Linked DNA regions of Coturnix japonica. The protein of the gene in region 4 purifies or fractionates together with the protein of the main gene of each other region. This does not show direct contact. Links are inferred from orthologs where the notes say so. Each region holds a gene or a part of one and is shown on either strand. Other genes may lie near its edges.

Evidence for each region.
Region 1: the proteins of TNFAIP3 (region 4) and MTOR purify together in Homo sapiens (affinity purification with western blotting, with the first as the bait; 3 studies listed by BioGRID). This does not show direct contact. The link is inferred for Coturnix japonica from reciprocal best matches to the Homo sapiens genes TNFAIP3 and MTOR.
Region 2: the proteins of TNFAIP3 (region 4) and RNF11 purify together in Homo sapiens (affinity purification with western blotting; 3 studies listed by BioGRID and IntAct, with this or other methods). This does not show direct contact. The link is inferred for Coturnix japonica from reciprocal best matches to the Homo sapiens genes TNFAIP3 and RNF11.
Region 3: the proteins of TNFAIP3 (region 4) and caspase-8-like purify together in Homo sapiens (affinity purification with western blotting; 3 studies listed by BioGRID and IntAct, with this or other methods). This does not show direct contact. The link is inferred for Coturnix japonica from reciprocal best matches to the Homo sapiens genes TNFAIP3 and CASP8.

The regions. Positions count from the first base shown.
Region 1 is NC_029536.1:3,615,849-3,621,346, reverse strand, and holds the start of MTOR (serine/threonine-protein kinase mTOR), read left to right. Parts: upstream 1-2,030; 5' UTR 2,031-2,146; intron 2,147-3,140; 5' UTR 3,141-3,183; coding exon 3,184-3,303; intron 3,304-3,664; coding exon 3,665-3,773; intron 3,774-4,572; coding exon 4,573-4,805; intron 4,806-5,160; coding exon 5,161-5,361; intron 5,362-5,498. Other genes in the region: UBIAD1 (ubiA prenyltransferase domain-containing protein 1), read right to left, coding at 892-1,387. UniProt on the Homo sapiens protein: Serine/threonine protein kinase which is a central regulator of cellular metabolism, growth and survival in response to hormones, growth factors, nutrients, energy and stress signals.
Region 2 is NC_029523.1:21,429,253-21,434,026, reverse strand, and holds part of RNF11 (RING finger protein 11), read right to left. Parts: intron 2,241-4,774; coding exon 2,071-2,240; intron 1,551-2,070; coding exon 1,379-1,550; 3' UTR 1-1,378. UniProt on the Homo sapiens protein: Essential component of a ubiquitin-editing protein complex, comprising also TNFAIP3, ITCH and TAX1BP1, that ensures the transient nature of inflammatory signaling pathways. Promotes the association of TNFAIP3 to RIPK1 after TNF stimulation.
Region 3 is NC_029522.1:9,932,065-9,937,352, forward strand, and holds the start of caspase-8-like, read left to right. Parts: upstream 1-1,751; 5' UTR 1,752-2,014; coding exon 2,015-2,024; intron 2,025-2,078; exon of another isoform or gene 2,079-4,741; intron 4,742-4,853; exon of another isoform or gene 4,854-4,949; coding exon 4,950-5,288. UniProt on the Homo sapiens protein: Thiol protease that plays a key role in programmed cell death by acting as a molecular switch for apoptosis, necroptosis and pyroptosis, and is required to prevent tissue damage during embryonic development and adulthood.
Region 4 is NC_029518.1:49,374,449-49,379,766, reverse strand, and holds the start of TNFAIP3 (tumor necrosis factor alpha-induced protein 3), read left to right. Parts: upstream 1-2,102; 5' UTR 2,103-2,477; intron 2,478-4,712; 5' UTR 4,713-4,728; coding exon 4,729-5,026; intron 5,027-5,318. UniProt on the Homo sapiens protein: Ubiquitin-editing enzyme that contains both ubiquitin ligase and deubiquitinase activities.

The DNA.
Region 1 (5,498 bases), on a different chromosome or scaffold from region 4:
TCTCTTTTTTCCAAAGAGAATAAAGAAAACACAGCTTGTTAATTCCTCCAGCCTCTCATGTTGTACCAACCCACCCCAGAACAGCACTAAGAACATCCTCTTCCCAGTAAAACAAGCACATACTGTTCCGTGTTCTCAATGGAATTCCATCTAAAGAATAACAACACTCCAAATCAGAACAAATACACCCGTGGAAAAGGACATAAGCAGCAAGTCGTACAGTCGAAGACATGAGATGTACACCACAAAAAGCTTCAGGAACACTTGAAAGGAGCATCTACAGCCATACAGAGCTCTAACAGCGTTGAAACAAGTTATAACAGTGTTGCTACACTTGCTAGGGTTCGTTGATGAATAGACATGGACCTGCCCTGCAGTTTTTGTTCTGATAACAGGAAGAGCTGTGTCTCTGAACCAGGAGATAAGGAAGTTTTACTGAGTCTTTATACCAAGGAAATAGAAGATGCTGCTTGGAATCAGCCACTGAACACATAATTCTGGGAAACTTGTGTATGTAACACATCTCTTAGAAATCTCCTCATGTAATGCATATTAACTAAGGATCTTCTGCCAGCATGCAAGCTGTGCTGATAGGGGGATTACCCCCATGCATTCAGCACTGCTATTAAAGAACTGCCTTCTAACACTCCAACTTGAGGTTTTCCTGATCAACTGCCTTACAGTAGCAATGTCTCAATGCTACTTTCCAGCTGAACTTGATGCATCCTTTCTCACACCTTCCCACTGTAATCAATGGCAAGGCTATGAACCAGCATTTCAGGGAATACCATCATATATTTTCCAAGCAGCTTATTAGATCACTTGGATCTCCCCTGACAAGTCAGCTCACTGGCACATTCAGACTGAAAGCAAACAGGGCCCGGTGCTTACCTCCAGTATAGAGGAAGGAGCTGGACAGCCCCCCGAAGTAAATCAGGGCCAGGTGCTCCAGCTTCAGCGTTGAGACAACATAGAGCCCAGCAGCGCAGACACAGCCCACGGTGTACAGGAACACCCCGAACCGCACCACGTCCTGAGGTTCCAAGATCTGGTCCACCAACGTCCTGTCATCGCTCTTCTTGTGATCGATGCCTTTGGAGAAGTCGTAATACGTGTTCACCAGGTTACCGGCCCCGTGCACGGCCAGTACGACCACGGCGCTGCCCACCAGCAGGCGCGGGTCCAACGCTCCCTGTGCCCTGTAGGCCAACGCGCTGCCCAGAGCCACGGGGGTGAGGGAAGCGCTGAAGCTCCATGGCCGCAGTGCCAGCACATAGGCCGCGCACTTCTGCCTCCAGCCGCCGGCGGGGCCGCGCTCAGCCCCCGGCCCGCACTCGTTCCTCTCGGCGTTAATGCTGATCTTCTGCACCAGCTCGGCCGGCCCCATGCTCTCACAGCTCCCTGCAAGGACAAGGGCCAGGAGTCAGGGCCCGGAGTGTCGGTCGGGCCGCACCGCCGCCATGGCCGGGCCTGAGGTAGAACCCGAACGGCAACGGGCACCAACGCAACAACGCACCGCCCCCCCCGGCACTCAGCCCCGAGCCGAGGGTTCCGCTCCGTGCGGCACAACGGCGACACGTAGCGCCACATCGGGCTGCGATGGAAGCACTAAGTGCTGCCCTGCGGCGCCTCCCATCCCCGCTGTAGGTGCCGTAGTGTTTGATGAGAGCTCAGAGCTCAGAGCTGAGAGCTCAGAGCCGCCCCGCCCGCCCTCAGCCCCACACGGCCCCATTTCGGGCACACACCGGGCGTTGGCGCACGCGTACAACAACACGCTCGGCCTCTCGGGGAGCAGCCGGCTGCGGGCGGGCCTAGAGCTGCTCAGCAGCTGAACCAACACAGCACAACACAGCACAGCACAGCACAGCTCAGCACAGCACAGCACAGCTCAGCACAACTCGTTATCGCCCCATCGCGCCGCCATCGCTCTCAGTCACCGCCTGGCAGCGCCCCGCCGGCCGCTCTGGTGGCTCCTCAGCGGGGGAGGCGGGGCTAGGAGCGCCCCTTCCCTTTTCTCCTATTCCTATTGGCTGGATGCAGTACCTATCAAACATTCTCTAGCAGCCTATTGGTCCATAGCGTCTCGCCGGTCCGGTAGGCGCGGGGGAGGCTGCCGGGGCCCGGAGCGGGGGAGCTGGCGGTGGAGGTGAGTGTCGTTCGGGAGCCTCCCTTCATCCATCCTCCCTTCACCCTCCATCCCTTCACTCCTCGCTCCCTGCTCGGTTCCGCCATCACGGCCCTCCCTCCTCGCAGGCCGGCGCCTCAGCCTTCCCTCGTTCCCGGCTCTTGGAGCTCGGGCCTGTCGCCTCCCTCATTGGTGACGGGGCTCCTCACAGGGTCCCCTCGTCCTGAGAAGCCCGAGGTCACCTCGCATTGTGTTCTTCATAGGGTTTGTGGCTGTGTGGGGATATAGGGGGGAAAAAAATAGAAGCTTTGGTGCGTGGTGGTGCTGTGGGCCCTCCTGTCAAGTGGGCAGCTTGGGTTTATGTGATTTGATGCTTTGAAACCTTTAAAATGTTCTTTATCAACCCCCCCCACCCCCCCTTCCCCCTCAAAAAATAACCATCAACAAGATCAGGCCCCACTTGTGGGGGACTTCTGATGTGTGTTACAATAGCAAACATCCCACTGCAGTGACTGCTGTTGCTATAAGTGGCCATCTCGTCTCTAAATACCTCCTGAGGAATGTAATGCTTGCCAGGCACCGAGTGTTCATAGAACATGGGGATTTCTGTGGAGAAACTTGGTTAAAAATGCTCACAGAGGAATCAGATGCCATCATGGCACCGGTGGGAAGGACTCTGCCTTGTTATGGGGTGACTGTAAAACTTTGTCTTATTGTGGTGCCTCTTTGGCTGTGGTGTGTCTTGCAGCCTGGTGCATCTGGGCTACCAGAGTGTGTTTTGGTGCTGGAGGAAGCAGGGAGGAAGTGGGCTGTGGGAGATGTTATGGTGTGATGTGGTTTTATCATGAGGCTGTAGTGCCTTGGGGAAGGTAATGGTTGGCTGTATTGTTTGTACTGTCTGGCACAGCATCCTTGCATGCAATGGGATATATGTTAGAAAAAGGCTGTAGGGGCAGAGTTAAGAAGCTCAGAGATTTCAGTAACTGAAAGTACTAAAAATCCCGTGTCTCTGAAGAACTTACAGGACTTGATGCCCCAAGCCCCGGCATAACAGCACCATGTCAGGCACTGTGTCTATTCTCCAACAATTTGCCAATGGCTTGAAGAGTCGCAGTGAAGAAACAAGGGCAAAAGCTGCCAAGGACCTGCAGCATTATGTCACCATGGAGCTCCGTGAAGTGAGTGCTGCAAAAAACGAATGATCTGTCTATCAAATGAGCATAGGGCACTGGCTGGGTACTCTGGGGATGGGTGTTTTTGGAACATAGAAACTGTTATTAGTGAGGAGGTGGGGCATAACATGGAGCTTACCTTTGTCCAAGCATGTAGGAGAGGTGAGGTGAGCAATGGATGGTCAAGCACCAGGATAAATAAACTCAACAGGTCAAGGGCATAAAGAAGAGAAACTGTTTATAATGTGTGGTTGATTTAATTTCTTTCTATTAGTGTAGCCTAAGGAGCATTGTCTCTATGGAGGTTTTGGAAATAGCAAGAGAAGGGAGAATGCTGAAGGCCTATATGAATCTTTTCCTGTTACAGATGAGCCAGGAGGAGTCCACCAGGTTTTATGATCAGCTGAACCATCACATTTTTGAACTGGTCTCTAGCTCTGATGCAAATGAAAGGAAGGGTGGCATTTTGGCTATAGGTGAGTAAAAGTGTTTTATGCCTTTGAGTTTTCTCTTCAGGTACTTGATCAATTGGGACAGATTTTCCAAACGAATGAACTTGTGCAGTCAGAGCCTTATGTCCAACTGCTCAGTACGCTGGGTGTGTGCTTGCTGCTGGGCTCAGAAATTCTGCCTGTTAGTGTCAGCGTGGGAGCTGCTGAGTGCTGAGAGTGGCTGAAAACCTGGTGCTTAATGGGCAGTGAGCTCTTCTGGGAGTCAAACATCAAACATGAGTGAGTGCTGAGCACATGAAAATTCTGTTCCTGAGCTCAACAGAACAATCTGTGCTCTCTGATATAGTGGTTGGCAGCCCTGCTCATCCAGGGGAGAGACTCATGTAGCTTTTGCCTTAATTCTGATCAGGTGCTCCATCAGTTGCTCTGGTTGTGCTTTCTGTGATGTGGCAGAGCTGCCTGTATTTTAATTGTTAAGAAAATCAGCTTGTATAAATACTTTGCTTTCTGGATGAGTAGCTTGTATTGTAGCAATTACTTCTCTAACTACCAAATAGGGGTTGCCTATGGGTTACCTTCACAGACATAATCATCCAATCCCAACAAGTCTGGAGACAGCGGAAGCCTCATAGCTAGAGAAATTGTTCTTGACAACATCTGATTTTTAAGCTGACAGTATTGCTTTAAAATTGTGTCTGTGACTTTAGTGCTGTTGAAAGGTACTGGCTTGGATAGGGGATACTAATTCCAAATTAGGGATTAGCTGCTGTCTGCTCCACTGATCCTTAGGGAGAACCTACAGCACTTCTCCTTTTCTCTACAGCCAGCCTCATTGGTGTTGAAGGAGGTAACGCCACCCGTATTGGCAGGTTTGCAAACTATCTGAGGAACCTTTTGCCATCCAATGACCCAGTTGTAATGGAAATGGCCTCCAAGGCTATCGGACGGCTTGCAATGGCTGGTGACACCTTCACAGCTGAGTATGTGGAGTTTGAGGTGAAACGTGCTCTGGAATGGCTGGGGGCTGACAGGAATGAAGGTCGAAGACACGCAGCTGTAAGTGATTCTTATTTATTTATTTTTTTGTTTTCACCTGTCTTGGAGTGGGATGGTTTGGTTTAATAGTGATAGGAGAGGTTCTCAGAAAGCTGGGAAAAGCTGTGCAAGTGTAAGGATCTGTGATGCTCTTGTAACAGATTCAGTGTTTCCTTACCTCTACCTTATGAATTCCTTGTGACTAAACAAGGTTGAAGACGCCCTTATGCTGTGATCCGTAAATGTGGACAGAACTGGTTACAGCTCAGGCTCCTGGGCACTAACAGTTTAAATAAAGGATGCTGCATTCTAGGTATTGAGGTTTGTGTATGGGTGCTCATTTTCACAGATTTACTGTTTCTTTCCCCACCTCCAGGTTCTTGTACTGCGTGAGTTGGCAATCAGTGTGCCTACCTTCTTCTTTCAACAAGTACAGCCGTTCTTTGACAATATTTTTGTGGCTGTGTGGGATCCCAAACAGGCCATTCGAGAAGGAGCTGTTTCTGCCTTAAGAGCCTGCCTTATCCTCACCACTCAGCGGGAACCAAAAGAAATGCAGAAACCTCAGTGGTACAGAGTAAGAAAATCACTTTATTTTGGAACAGCTGTTTTAGAAGAGTTAAGCTTTGTCTGAAGTTCAGCTTTGCTGCTGTTGTCACTTGGGTTAAGGCTTCCTAGTATCAATCACAATTTGGGTAGCGCAGCTAAATATTG
Region 2 (4,774 bases), on a different chromosome or scaffold from region 4:
TGCAGGGCACGTTAAGAAAGAAAAAGGAAAAAAACCCACCCTAAATGGATAAAAGTTCTTTACAGCTACAATCTTGCAACCACCTCTTAATAAGCACATAATTTTGCTGCAGAAATGAGCTAATGTTGTCACTGTGACTCCAGCAGTTCTATTTTCCCCCTCCATTGCTGCTGTGACGATCTGCATTCATTTAGATGCTGCATTTATGCGCAGAACAAAATACTTTTTCTTTGCTTGGTAAGATTTCTTATCTGCATGGTGGACTGATGTGTCAGCCAGCAGGGCTTAACAGATACATGTAATACAGGAGACTGAGATACAGTATGTTTATTCTTAACTTCTGAAACCTAAGAACTACAAGAACAAGAGATGCAGTATCCGTCTGCTGCAATTCAAGGCAACCATTTTTTAGGGAGAAAAAAGATAAAATAAGTAATTGCTGCTAACGCTATTTTAGTTCCAATTTCTTTGTTTCCAATTATGGCAGCTTCACTGCTTATTTACTGTCCATCTTGGCCCACTTTTACCTTGGTCAAGTTCAGGTAGACATCCACATGTAAAGATTTGTTTAGTGCAAACTGAAGTGAGTTCTAACAGCCATGGTATCATACTCTCAGTTGCAGGACCCATTCCGTATCTTTATATCCACCATCACTTGCAGAAAAGGGATAATGCATCTCAGTTTGCTTACAAGCTAGGAGATCACTTTGAAGTCTGCATATTCCTAACTGCAAACAAAATATAGCACTTGTAACAGGTTATAAATAAACTGGTTTTCAAGCATAGAGCCAGCCCAACAATAACATTACACTATTAAAAAGACCTAAGGCAATGAATTCCATCTCCAGTGGAGGGAAAAAGAAAAAAGAAAGGAAGAAAAAAAAAGAACTGTGCAAACAAGCTTAAAACTATTTCTTTGTGCCAGTGTTATAAAATGTAGATTTTAATAAAGCCTTGACCCAAATGCCAGGACTTGTGAAAAGAATCAGGAAAAAAAAAAGTTACTTTATTTAGGAAAAAAAAAATACTCTTATCTTACTGCTAATAAAATTGGATACACGCAGTTTAAACATTTACAGTTGCTGTAACACTTTACAATTCCTATATACGGGTGTAAGAACAAACATTAAAGACAACGCTGGGTCAAGGCTTTACATTAAAAATAACAACCTACTTTTTCTATAGTCTCTAAAATACTATGCTTTTTTTTTTTTTTCCCAATATTTGCAGCCATTCAGGAGTATTTTTTATTCATTAGGAAATGTATGTTTTGTGCATGACCTTAATTCCTAATTTCTGGCTCTTTGGGCTGAATGACAAAAGGATCAAACCCATTGACGTGGATGGTCTCCTTGAAGGTTCACGGAGAAACCCTGGCTCAGTTAGTCTCGTATGATGAAAGCAGTGCTGCATCCACTGGCTCCATGCAGGATGGACAGGTAAAGGATCTCATCAACCAGTCATCTATACAGTCCAGGTGGTAGATGTGCATGCATGGCAGAAATCGGATAGGGTCCCCATACACAAAGTCCATCATACAAATAACGCACCTGGGGAAACAAGACATAGTTACAGTGATGGCAGCACACTGGAAATGAAAAGCAATGTATCTGTCAGATATGACTATCATGCAAACTGCTGTTATTACTGACAGATATGGCAAGATTTCTTTGTTACATCAGTGCTGGCTCCACCCAGCACTGGATTTCTTGGTGTTTTCTTCATACTGGGAGCCCCTGACCACAGCATTAGCAGGAAGCCTGCAGCCAGGGATGGGACAGCACAGCAGCCTGCACAGAACTGGAAACAGGAGATGGGAGCCATGAAGATGAAGAAGCAGAAGCATGGAATTATTTTCCCATAAAGGGAGGAAGAAAAGGGCATAAATTACACACATGAGGGAAAATAGCAGAAAAGTGAAGAAGGATAAAACAAAGAGGCTTCTGCATGGAAGAAAGCTGCATCAAATTACACTCCCTGAAAGTAAGGCAAAAACAGAAAGACCAGATGAGGTTTCCCATGAGAACAGCACAGACCAGTGGACGTGCACAGCAGCTCTGTGGAACTTACTCTCTGATCTTCTTCTCAGAGCCGTCTCTTCCAGGATCGTAGACTCCCTTCGGTAGGTGCTGGATAAGGCCTATCCTTTGCGCTATTCGGATCTGCTCTTCCTCTGTCAGCTGCGTTGCCAGCCGGGTCTGGCTAGGGGTTGGGTGATACACAGGAACGGGGACTTGCTCCTAAAATTAAAATATTTCTATTAAAAAATTAAACCAAGGCTTTCCTAGTATTTCCTAGGACCGCGCAGGCAATGTATTTAACTTTTCTTCTCTCAGTCCTACAAATATTTTGATGATTTCCCACTCCTCATTTGCAAATTCGTGGCTAAAATTACATACAGGATGGGTTTGTGAGTGACACCTCAGCCACGCTTTGGGCTAGCACTGCTGGTGTTCAGTAAGTGTGGTTAATTTCCTTAGGGCTCAGGCTCTATTTCACAAAGTCACAGTTCCCTTCTAGCACAGCTGCCTTTTAACGGTTCCCATGACCTGACAGATTTCTCTGTGCACTGCTGGGACAGGGACAGCCAGCAGCTGGGGGTGACCTGTCATACAGCAGCACCCATGGCGTGGCTCTGACCTGCGTGCTGGGGAGATAAAGCATCGCTCCCCTCCCTAACGCCGCACCTCTCAGCCAGGGCAGGGCCCTGTTCTGATCTGGTGTTGCAAGCACCACAAGCTGCCCCTGCCTTTGTAGTTTCATGGCGTTGCTGTACTTCTGTGGATTATACCAGTAGGAGATGGCATCAGTGCTCCTTTATTTCTCATAGGAAAGGAGTGTGCTGCTTGCCTGAGCCAGGGAAGGGTGCAGGTGTTTAATACAGCAATACAGCTCATTTGGTAAAGCCCTGACAGCAAGGGGTTACAGAAACATAAAGAAATGCAGGAACTGGAGGAAGAAAAATGATCGAGGAACTCAAAATGCCTGAAAGTAGCAGGACGTGGGACTGCCAGCGGACGGCTCCACCGCAGAACAGCAAACTGAGCACAGCAACACAGCTGAGCACAGCATCACTGCGTAAGAAACTGCAGTTAAATGAGATCCTGCTGCAAGCCAAACCCCTGGCATTTCAGACAGCTCTTGGGACGATCCCTCAGTCACAAGCCCCGAGCTGACAGCTTTTCAGGTGGGTTTGGGACAGTAAGCACAACTGTGAGCACTGAAGGTCAAACAAGGCCAAAACCCCTCCCTTTTCCCAGCTGCATACCAGCACCTGCTCCTACCAACCCCTAGAGGCCATTCCCCTGAGAACTCCCTGTTATTTTAGGGCCAGCGGTGCACTCCATCCCCTCCACATACCACAGCACACTGCCATCCCAGCATGGCAGCTCCCCCCCCCCATGTCAGGTCCTGCTTGTAATAGAGCCGCTGCCCCGTGCCTTGTCCCCCATTAGAGGAGGGGACACAGGACACTGTGCTGGACCACATTGGATGTTGCAGTGGCTGAGAATGGTGCTGCCTCTCTGCATGGGAACATGAAAAACCAGGGGGTGATGTCTGCCAGGCTGCTGTGACAACACATAAATCGCGTTACTGTAAATAAAAACGAGTGGCTGTTCCATCCCTGATCCCTGACACACTGTCTGATGGCACTTTAATCTCTCCTCCAATTGCTATTAAAAGCCTGCCCTGCCCGAGCCAGAGCCCGCTGCGTGGAACCAGGCCAGTGAAATGGAAGAACATGGGCACACACATTGCAGGGCTCAGACCATGGGGAGCACCCGCAGTGACCATCCCAAAGCTGCCCACTCCCCATTGGAGGCACAGAAGCCCCCATGGGCTCATGGCCCCTCTGCATGTCTCTCTGTGTCCATCAGCCCAGGCACCGCAAGGCCCTGCACCCTGCAGGGTGGTTTTGGGGCTCTGAGGCTTCGCTCCAACAGCACTTGTAGCTACAACCCCATGGCACAAACATACATTAAAAAAAATCAGGTGACCCATGTAATTATTACTGTCCTGATGAGTGCAGATTTATTGCTCTTCTGGCTCACTTTTATCTACCATGGAAAATGTTTCTGCAGCCAGAATTACAAAATACTGAGCTTTCAGCCAATGTCTGTGTTCTTTATCGTTGGATATAGACGCCAGGCGTTTCAAACTAAGATGAAACTTCACGCTAACTATTCTTCCATACAAATTTTTACATATGTATGTATATATACATATATCTATATGGCCAAACCAAACAATCAAACTGCCATAAAAGTGTCAGCCAGCAAAATAAAAGCCGCTCACTGGCACTCATCAGTTATCCCTGCCCCCAGTGGCACACAGGAGCAGTGTGTGCCCCATCACAGCACAGGGGCAGCACGGCTCTCCCTGGCTCCTCTCACATCCCTCTCTCCTCTCCCTGGCCCTGTGGGAGCAGCACCAATTCAGACTCCAGCTGGACAGCGGGGTCTGTGTCTACATGTCAATCCTCAATTCTCCACTGAGGGAGCGAGGAGAGCAATCACACAGGGCACCCAGAGGTCGGCATTTTTTATTTCTAGTGAAAATAAATGCTTTCACACCTTGCTGGAAGCCCAGACACAGTTTCTGCACATGGATTCCCAGGCACACTTGGGGTTCTGCCTAGAAAAAGGTTTTGTTAAGCACCGTTTTTTGTTGGAGGTTTTCTCATCAATGCAGCTCACCCTGGTTACTTACGTTGCTGTAAAACTGCTGCTATTTGTTTTACTGCATTTCCATCTTGTTCCTGCAAGTGTAATGA
Region 3 (5,288 bases), on a different chromosome or scaffold from region 4:
TCCCACTCCATGAGACTCACAATTCTGAGATGCTGTCACCTCCTGGCAACTGGCTGTAGCTTCTGCAGGCTTCTAATCTCTGTTGTAATAAATACTGTTGGTTATCACATTGTTTGTGGTGTTTTCCTCTGAGGAGCTGGTTGAAAAACAGTCGGCACAACAGACCTCCTTTGCTTCGTCTGAAGAAGTTATTTTTGCTGAAGTATTCTATGGCAGACATCCTGAGGGAGGGGTGACTTGTTGATATTCTTTCATTAGCAGTTGGAGAGACGGTAGGAAACTTAAGAGTAAAGAGTACATAAGAGTAAACTTAAAAGTTAGGACATTCTTGATAATGGGAGCTGATGCCAGTGAAGCTGTTCTCACCTTGTATCTTTAGCAATGCGTATGTAGTATCTGGGAGCCATCTGGAATTCTAATGGCTACATCCCTTTTGATCTTTATAACAAGACAAAGGATCAATGTGAAACACTTTATAATTTATGCTTTTTAAAGAACTTTTAAAATAACTTCTGCTTTTTTTTAATCCAGACTTTTTTTGAGACCTGTGTCAATCTGTAATGCAGGGGTTCTTTATTCAGTCCTGTTTATCTTCCTGAAGTGAGGCTTCTTTACTCCTAATTCCTCACAGTATGCTGACAGTTGCTCTGCTTGCCATTTTCCCTTTCCAAGTAAAAGAGAGAATGTCTGTTCTTAGAATCACAGCTCTGTTCATATGGGCTTCATAAGTAATAAATAGATGTTATGAGCACTATATAAGCGAGAGTGCTGTTTATGGCAGATGTTAGCAGAAGGTGTTACGGGTTTTGCTGCATTTTTATAGCTGATGTTTGGTTAACTGTTGAGGAAACATTCACATTTTTATAGAATTTTCATAAGTAAGACCTTGCTATAATGGAGTTGTTATATTTTGTATGTTGTTTTTTTAAATTTATGGAAATATAGTTTAAATGAAATTGCTGCTTCCTCTAGGAGAAGCTTGATGGAAGTTGGCAGCTGCTCCAGTAGAATTAAAAGAAAACATTACTGGTATTAGTGAAGTGGTGAATCTACAGCATTTGTTTCTTTCTATGTCTCCATGTCAGAGTTCTGTCCTTTCAGACTAACTTCTTTTGTATACTCCACATGAGCAGAATTTAATGTCTAATATAAAATTTACTTGTTTGGTGTTACTTGGGTCTTTTTAATATAGTAATAATAAACATAATATCATAAAATATGAGACATGACTTTTGGAGAAGCCCTTGCACTTGCAAGTAGTTTCAGGAAGAAGCCATACTGTGCGCTGATAATGTGGCTCAGTGAAGGAGAAAATACACTTTCATTTTTTGTGGTTCTGAGCAAAATAAACACACACACCCCAAGGCTGAGTGGCTGTGATGTTTCCGACCAAATTTGATGCCCTCTACCAGAGCTGAGAGCTAGGAAGGATACTTGACGGCTGTACAATTTCCTGTTTCTTCTCTGCAGCATAAGCCGGAGAAAGCAGAGGGGCAATTGCCTCTCCATTCAGAAGGCTATAGTTAGTCAGCTATAATTATTCACCCTGCCTTCCCTTTTCTTCAGCTCATGTCTGGAAGGCAGAACTTTGCACTCAAACAATGCTGGCACTTACGTCTGTTATGTTTTCAGCCAGTGGAAGCATTACCAGCAGGCAGTGAATCACAGGCTTGGCAGGAAGGCGAGGCTGAGTTAAGTCCTGCAGAGGTGAGCTAGAAAGCAGCCAATCAACGCGACGCTGTTTGGGAAAGAAAGTGCTGAGAAGACGGAGGGAGGGCCATTATCTGCTTAGACGGAAACAGTGTTCATTCAGAGGCACGAATGTCTGCCCTTTGATTTGCATCGTCTTTTCCTATTTGTTCAGTTGAACGTCAGTTTCCCAGAGATGTTGATGCCAGCCTCCCCTGGGAAGTTTATCATTCAGTTTTTAGGGTAACCTGGTAATCTGCTGATGCCGGGGTGGGATATCGGCACGTATTAGGAGCCTGCCTGCTCACTGCTGCTTTCTCTCTGCATGGGCTGCTGTAAGTATGTGCCTTTCCATTACCTCTGTAAGGGTTCACTCTTTTCAAAGTTTTTAAAGTTCTGAAAGGTTTGATTGCAGTGGATTTTTAATTTATTTACTTACTCATTTACATTTAACTGTTGGGTAGGTCTGTTGTCTACAACATCTCATACAGGAAACCCTGGAAACTCATGGGAAGTGGAAACAAACTCCACATCCTTTTGAAGATCCAGTTGTGCAGCAAGGAGTCCAGAGCTAGAATGTTCTCAGGAAGTTTTCATTGTTGAGTCCTTGATGGCCATCCTTTTTATTTTGACCCCTAACTTACATGGGCACATGTTCTCTGAAATTATTCAAATGAACCTTTTTCTGATAAAGAGGTGTAAACTTACAGAGGACATGTTTAGTTTATGGTGGTTTCTGTACAGTGTACTAAAATATAGTTGAGATCTTTGGGAATTCCCAAGTACTCATTTGTGTTTCCTTTCTGAAGCCGTGCCTTTGCTCACTGCTGTGCTTGTTCTATATTTGACAACCATGGGAATTCCCCAGTCACATAACGTGGCTGTACTTTTGCAGTTCTCAACGGTAACACGTTCCTAGCTCGATACAAAATTATTCTGCACATATCTTTGGAGCTTGGCCTGGGTCTTTTACATCAGTTGCTCCTGTAGCCACTTTGTGCTAAGGCTGCTCTGTCCAGACATGTCAGTGCAAACAGAACAATCCATGCCTCCTGCAGTCTGCTTACTAGGAGTTTGTTTTAACTGCACATGAGGAGATGTAAACACATAAGCTGCTAAAAGTCTCACTGCATTCACACACCTTCCACCTTTGACCTCATCTATATGCAGGCAGTAACCAAATATCTTCCTTACAGCTTTGAACACTGGTGACTTTTATGACAATAATGTAAATATTAACTGCTGCGTTAAAGGGTAAATATCCAATTTGACAGATTCTTTTCAGTACCAATAATGGGAATAACACATCTCTGAGCTATTGAACACCTCTATAGAGTTTCTTTGTTTCCCAGGGGAGCACTTGATGTAACTGAGTGTGCAAATCTCACCCCATATTTGTCCTGGTGGGGGTGGGAAGAGAGGCTCAGCCCATTGACTGGTTCTGGAAGTCAGCAGTGTCCTCCCAAATTGTCCGCGATGGTATCTTTCCCAAAAATTCCTCCAAGTTCCCATCCCTGTGCTTAAGGAACTGTCATGGAATACACTGCATATTTACTGCAATCCATCTTGGAGGTGTCTACAATGCTTTTCTGCTTTTGAGAGGGGAATGTCCCAGTAACTGACTTCCAGTAATTACTCCACATAATCGATCTTGTGACTACAGTTGCTCAAGACTCACAATATTCAGAAAGAACTGGGGAGGGTATGTGCAGCCTTGTTATGAGGATTAGACCTCAAGAGCTCTGGGTCTGTTCATTATTTATAGGGTAAGATGATTGGCAGAGTCATAGTATGTAGCAGAACTGTGTTATCAGCCCTGAACACAGTCTTGGGTGTAACAGCCAGGCCAAAGGAGGAGGCTGGAGGTGGGAGGAAGCACACCCTCAGATTACTGTCTACATTTTTTTAATTTATAATTTTTTTTGAAAGAGAGAAGTGGTAGGAAGAGGTTCTGTTTTAAAATCAGTGCTGAGTGCAGCTCTCCTGTCAAGGTGTTAACGTTCAGTTTTAGAACCATGAAACTCCAACCTCCCTCCTTCCTCCTGTTGTTATGAAATACTATCTGTGTGTTAGAATTTAGAACAGAGGTGATGCACCATCCCAAGGTCTCACCCCATCATGTCACTTCCTGTGGGCTCGCTCCTGCTGCTGAAAGCCTCCAGCAAATCCCAAGGGCTGGGAAGGGAGTTGGTTCAGTGGCTCGTGCCCATTATTAGGGAACAGGGTCAAATACCTGGACTGAGTGTGCTGCGCTTCCTGTCAGCAGCAAGGGGGCAGCTTGCGAGGAGGAAATGGTGTTCTGAGATTCTTTGTCAGTATTGAAATGACGATGAATTGTTAGTGCCCTTGGACTGTGGAGGTGTGACTGCCGCAAATGCCCAGGCAGTGGGAGAGCTCCTAACCTGCACAGATAAGTTCAGTTTTCTTACGAATCCTTTTCATGCCAGAAATATCCTTGGAATGCATGTGAAGATAATGATGTGATTTGAGCTCAAACTCTTATTGGAGAACTCTGAGGACCTCTTATTTGCTATGCTTAACCACTGAAGTGCCACTCTGGCAACTGATTTTCACGTGTCTCTGTGTGTTTCTTCTGAAGTACTTCAGCTCAGTGGCAAAGCTCTTCCTTTTGCTTCCCCCACGTTTCCGCTTTCTGTTTTTTCTGAGTGGGTGTATGAATTTTATGAAGCAAAAAGGGAAGAATACAAAAAAGGAGGGGGCAGTGTTTATGTAAAACAGCTCAGAATGCTGTTTTGCATGTAATACAAAACCAGCCATGTATATAAAATTCACTTTTTCCTGTCAGTAGCATGCGTGTTTGAAGTGATATGAGAAATCTCTCCACTGGAAAAAGAGCACCCATCTGCCATTGGCTTTTGTTTGTTTGTTTGTTTTTGTTTTGTTTTGTTTTTTAAACAGTAAAGAGAGATGTATTGGTATTTCACGGTAAGAAAAGAAAAGGAAATATGAAGTACAGGGTCGCCCAGGCTGAAGAAAGAAGCTCAGCATTTGGACAGCAGTGACGCCTGTGGAGGGAGATAGAGTATGGGAGGTGGGCGCTGGTGAGCGCTGGCCGGCCCCTGTGCTCCCCCCAGCCGTGCCAAGCGTACAGCGGGATTTTCTACTTCTTCAGCCTCTATTTTTTTTTTTTTTTTTTTAAGCAGTGCTCTGTAACAGTGAACGGAAACGGCCTCAGCTGTGTCAGAAAGCTCCTCTCTGGCAGACAAGCAGTTTCTGAGTTGAACTGCGTTTTTTTTAAGCCAGGAATCCAGACAGAACTACAGCTCCCAGGAGCCTGGGCGCTGCCTCGCCGGACGAAGTGGGCGGAAGCACGGAAGCGCGGGTGCACAAGGAAGTGGTGCCCATCCCAGCTCAGGGCTGGAGCTGCTGCGGGGAGATGGAGTTCTCCCAGCTGCTCTACGTGATCAGCGAGGCGCTGGACAGGAATGATCTGGCGTCTCTGAAGTTTCTCAGCCTGGAGCACGTCACTGTAAGAAAGCAGGAAGATATTGAGGAACCCAAGGCCTTCTTCCAAGCATTACAGGAGAAAGGGATGATCGAAGCAGGGGATCTGTTCTTCTTGAAGGAGCTGCTCTACC
Region 4 (5,318 bases):
CAACTTAAGATGTTTCTCACCTGTCTTTGATGGCAAGAAGTTCCCCATTCCCTATGATAGATATATCTACGTATATAGATGCATAAAAATATGTATTAATACACGTATGTGTGTACATGGACACACTTCAAAGAAGGAAAATGGCCTTCTCACGTATATATATATGCTTATATCTTGATATAATGCTTATATTTAGTGAAATGGTGGGATGAACTATGGATTATAATTACAGCTCACAGGAGTAAATCTGAAAAGAGGAATGTATATTCATGCATTATCCAATAACCATTGATGAAGCTGATGTTGTTATGTGTATTGCTATATAACCTGGGAGATCTGGTTGATAGGACTGAGCTTCATTTTGTGCTGTGCTAACTCATCAAATGAATTCCTACTATCCTGCTCAGACCTGCATGATAAACATCAGTCTTAGCTACGTGCAATCAGCATCTAGTTTATCAAGGTGTAGACAGTAATTGAATATGTTCAGAGCTTAGAATAACAAAAAATCTGTTGTCCTTTCAGTTTTTCCTCATAGGCTCATAGGTATTTCCCTCATAGGCTCACAGCTATTGCCTGCAGAACGTTTTACTCACACTTATTTTCCTTTTATTATGCTTGTTGTTATAACAACAACACCTCTCAAAAACAAACAAAACCAAAAAACAAGCAAACCACAGAAGGGTCTAGAACCACTTATTAATCTATTTGCTGCAGTTTTACACACGAAGTAACATATAAATCAGCTCGTTTTACATTTCTTACCCTAACTGCTTATTCCCACTCCATGGTGAAACTGACCATCACTTTAAATGCTCTCTGTAAAACTGAATGAGTGACCTCTCATCGAATCACTGGGGGAAAATGGCTTGGTTAAGTTATATATACATGTGCGTGCGTATGCATACATACATAAATACATATATATAGCTGGCTTCTAATCAGATCACTTCAGTATCCCAGTACCTCAGCACACATCAGGGTTACAAAGAAAAACAACCAGGAACAGGGAATAGCAGGTTCTTTTTTAAACGGACTTCTCTGTTGCAGACAATATCCACTGGGTAAACCACACCCCGGGTGCAGCCCCAGTTATGTAAGTAATCACTCAGACCCAGTTCCTCCGGCACGCAGCCTCCTTGGATATCAGTCAGCCCTCAGACTATCCGTAAGCGCAGAGCCTTCCTATGTATTCCTAGGCAGAGATAGAAGGGCAGCGGACCACACAGAGCCAAACACAGGGCTTTAAGCAGTGAGAAGGAGCATGCCATCACAGAGTTGCACAGATGCCATGAGGGCACGAGCTGAGCCAGCTGATGCTAATGGAGGCAAGGAAGCTCAGGTATGAGCTCTTTCCAGGTCCGCCTGTTCTGTGACAGGCCTGATTTTAAGGTGTGGGGCAACTCCAGCTTCTCATCCAACCAGTGGGACCTGTGGGTGCTCTGGAATTGGCAGGCGTTCAGCATCTGGAGAAAGCCTCTTAGGACTGAAAAAAGACTTTTTTGTATTATATTTCTGCCTGCCTTCAGGTTACAAGTCTTGCAGGCAAGGAGCTGCCCATTTGCAATTGAGATCACATCTGTATGCTTTATTAAGAGGCCCTAAGTGCTTTATTCAGACTTTTTCCATTGCACAGGCTTTAGGGTGCTATTTAAAGGTGCGAATTACATGCCCGCAGCCATTAAAGGTATGAGATGCCACAACTGGCCAGTGGCTCCAGGATGAAGTCCTCCATAGCCTCAGCCTGTTCTGCCCCTTGCCTGCCTTGAGCAGGGCTGGATGAGAACCTGTTACAGGTTACCTGTTACCTGTTACAGGCTGAGGGTTTGTTTAGCCTGGAGAAGAGAAGGTTGTGGGGTGACCTCATTGCAGCCTTTCAATACCTGAAGGGAACTTACTCCCAGGAGGGGAGTAAACTCTTTGAAAGGGCTGACAGTAGCAGACACAGGGAAATGGTTTTAAGTTAAAAGAGGGAAGATTTAGGTTGGATGTTAGGGGGAAGTTCTTTACTAGGAGAGTGGTTAGGCCCTGGAACAGGCTGCCCAGGGAGGTTGTAAGCGGAGGGAGCGCTTCGGTGCCCCCTGCCGGCCCTACGTGGAGCCAGCGATGCCTGCGCTGCTGTTGTCACATGTCGGAAAGTCCCAAGCGCTGACGGTGGAAATCCCCGCTGGGGTTTTTTTTTGTTGTTGTCTTTTTTTTTTTTTTTTTTTTTTCCTGTCCATGCGCTGAAACAGAAAGGGGAAAGAAAACAAGAGGCTGAGCTCAGCCCTTCATTCCGCAGCGCAGGCAGCGGCGGCAGCAGCTCCGGAGAGGGGAGGGGGCGGCGGACGCGAGAGCGGCCAGGTCAACCCGGGCCTGCTGCCGGCTGGGTGTTGATGGCGGTCGAGCCTGACTGTGTGCCCCCGCCGCGGCCCAGCTGCTGAGCGGCATTTAGCGGCGGATCGAGCCCGCGCCTGGAGGAGCCCGCCGGGCGAGAGGTGAGCAATGCTCGGGCTGGGAGAGAGGCTGCCCGACTGTATTGTGGAGGTTTTGTTAGCAGTCCCGCGGCGAGCGGTGGAATTGTGCCCTCTGTTGACTGGCGGTGGGCCGGGGTTGCAGGTAGAGCGGGGGGCGGCCGGCTGCGAGGCCTGGCTGGGGCTGCTGCCACCCGCACCTCCGAGGGACGGAGGCTGGAGGCTGCAGGAGGCTTTTAGGCTCGTTGCAGTGCTCGGCCGGCAGGGGTTTACCATTGGCTTCTTCGGTTAGGGGACAGAGCTGGAGAACGGAACACAGGGTTCCCCAAGACCAGCATCTTCCATATTATGTGCTGGGGAACTATGTGCTGCACTGTTTGCAACTTTTTTCTTTTCCTGGGAGCTCAGTAATTACATGTTTAAAGGCCATGTAGGGTGGCCATGCAATGAAGCACAGTGTGGTGTTAGCAAGTACAGCCTTAATGTGCTTTGAGTTGTCAGCTTCTGTGGCTGCTGAGCTGCTTCATTGCTTTGTTTCTCATAGTCAGGGTTGCTCTGATGTTGCCTTGATTGATGTTTGAGGTAACTGCCACAGACAGTAGTTTCCACTTTTGGAGGGGAAAATGTGCCCGTAGAATAGAACAGAACATTGAATTTACGGTTCCAGTGAATGCTTCTGTAGACTCAGTACTTTTTGTTACCTAAAGCTGGAAATAACCACTTCAAGGGTCCGTGCCAGTAGTGATTAATCATCTGATAAGCCTTTATTTGGGTAAAAAAACCTCATTGACTCAATGACTCTACTTACGTAACTTAGGAATTCAGTACTCTGGCCGTCTCCGAGCAAAGCAGAGACGTGGTTATTAAAGAGGTTAATATGTTTATATGTCATTCCTCAATCCCATATTTAAATATATGGATGGTTTATGTGAGTGGCGTGTGTGAAAGTATATTGGTTAGGGATAGATGAGAAGCAGCTGTTAGGAAGCTTTCTCTTGTTTCTGGTCGCCCTATACTTGGCATGGCATGTATCAAGGTCTTGATTTATACGTATGACTTAGTATTTGTCCCTAAATTTGTAATCCTCACTCCTGCTGTGACCAACTGGATTCTAAATGTTAGGTATGCAGACCTTCATTTCGCTTGATAGAAATCTGGTTGTGTGAGCAGAGCAGCAGTCTACATGGACAGCACGTAGTCTCTCCATCTAAAAATAATAGCTCATGGTGTTACTGCAGTGCACAGGAGGGATGTGTGAATGTGGTCCCTGCATCTGGCTGCAGCGAGACACAGAGTTAGTGTGCTCAGAATGAGTATTTCAGACTACAGATACTTCGAGGTTATGGGGTTGGTTGGCTTTTTGTTGTTGTTCTTCCTGCTGTAGCCCATCAGGCCAGAGGTATGGAAGAAAGGGATGCAGGGCAGTAAATGCTGCTTGTCCCACTATGGAAAAATATTGGGGCTTTTGAGCCAAGTGGAAATGCTTTTTCAGCGATGTTGACTTACCGCTGAGTAATAGTGGCACCGCAGCTTGTTCCCCCACACATTGCACGAGCACCTCTGCAGTGCTATTCTGCTCACAAAACAGAAGGAGCCGCAAGAAGAGTAGCACAGGTCTGGCCCTGAGTGCTTGATCTGCCACTAATACCTCTTTTACCATCTCCAGCCAATGTAAGTATGGGACAGAATCTAGCACACTGTGTGATATCCAGGCTCTTTTTATATCATACCAGCATCACTTATCAGAATGCATGAGCTGTGGAAATCTGAAATGGACATTATCTGTTTTTTTGGCATGTCATCAAAACAAGAGTTTGGAATGTGCTGAAAGTTCAGCAGGTTCATATGGTGGTTACAGTGTGCAATTATCAATTAGTCAAGTTTCCAAGATAGTTTTCCCTTCCCTTGATCTTGCCTTTTTCTTTCCTTGCTTTCATTTAAGTGCCTTTTTTTTGTACAATGATGTAATCGTCTTAGTGAAGAATGAACTCTCTTCAGGAGTTCAATGAATGATCACAATAAATGGGTGGAATAAGCTCTTCAGTAGTTATCTCTGTGTAATGCAGAGAGGCTGACAGAGGTAAATGTTAACAATAAGAACTGGTATAAGTCTCAGTGGATGTCATTCGCTCTGTGTACTAACAGGCAAAACAGCAACTAGAATTCCACACATGGAAGTGTATTCTCAGTCTGTGCAAACCTTGCAGAGCAAGGGCAATTAACAAGTCAGTAAGAGAACACTTTTCTTTTTCATTTCAGATTTTTGTCTAGGAACATGGCTGGCCAGCACATCCTTCCTCAGGCTTTGTATCAGAGCAATATGCTGAAAGCTGTGAAGATTAGAGAGAGGACACCTGAAGATCTGGTCAAACCCCCCAGTGGAATAATTCACCACTTCAGGACTATGCACAGATACACTATAGAAATGTTCAGAATGTGCCAGTTTTGCCCTCAATTCCGGGAAACGCTTCAGAAAGCCCTGACTGACCAAGCCACCCAGACTTCACTGGAGCGCCACAGGAAACTGAACTGGTGTATGGAGGTCAGGAGACTCGTGCCTTTGAAAACTAATGGTAAGTTGTGAGCAGGTCTTTGAACTCATTTTAAAGTGGGTAATACAGATCTGCCCTTTTATCTTAGTTGCGTAAGCTAAAATTCTCTCCGCGTAGCATGCTGTCTGGAGTCTGTAGCAATCCCCATCCGATGGCATGATGAGTGGCCTGAAAACTTCCTGGGTATTTTCATAACATCAGTAACTTCTGTCTGTCCATTGCTGTTCCACAGGCCTGACTTTCCATGTGTCAGTTCTCCTATTAGAAGCAGTGGTCAGCCCTTAACTCTAGGCAGGTGGAGGCTTGGGATGCT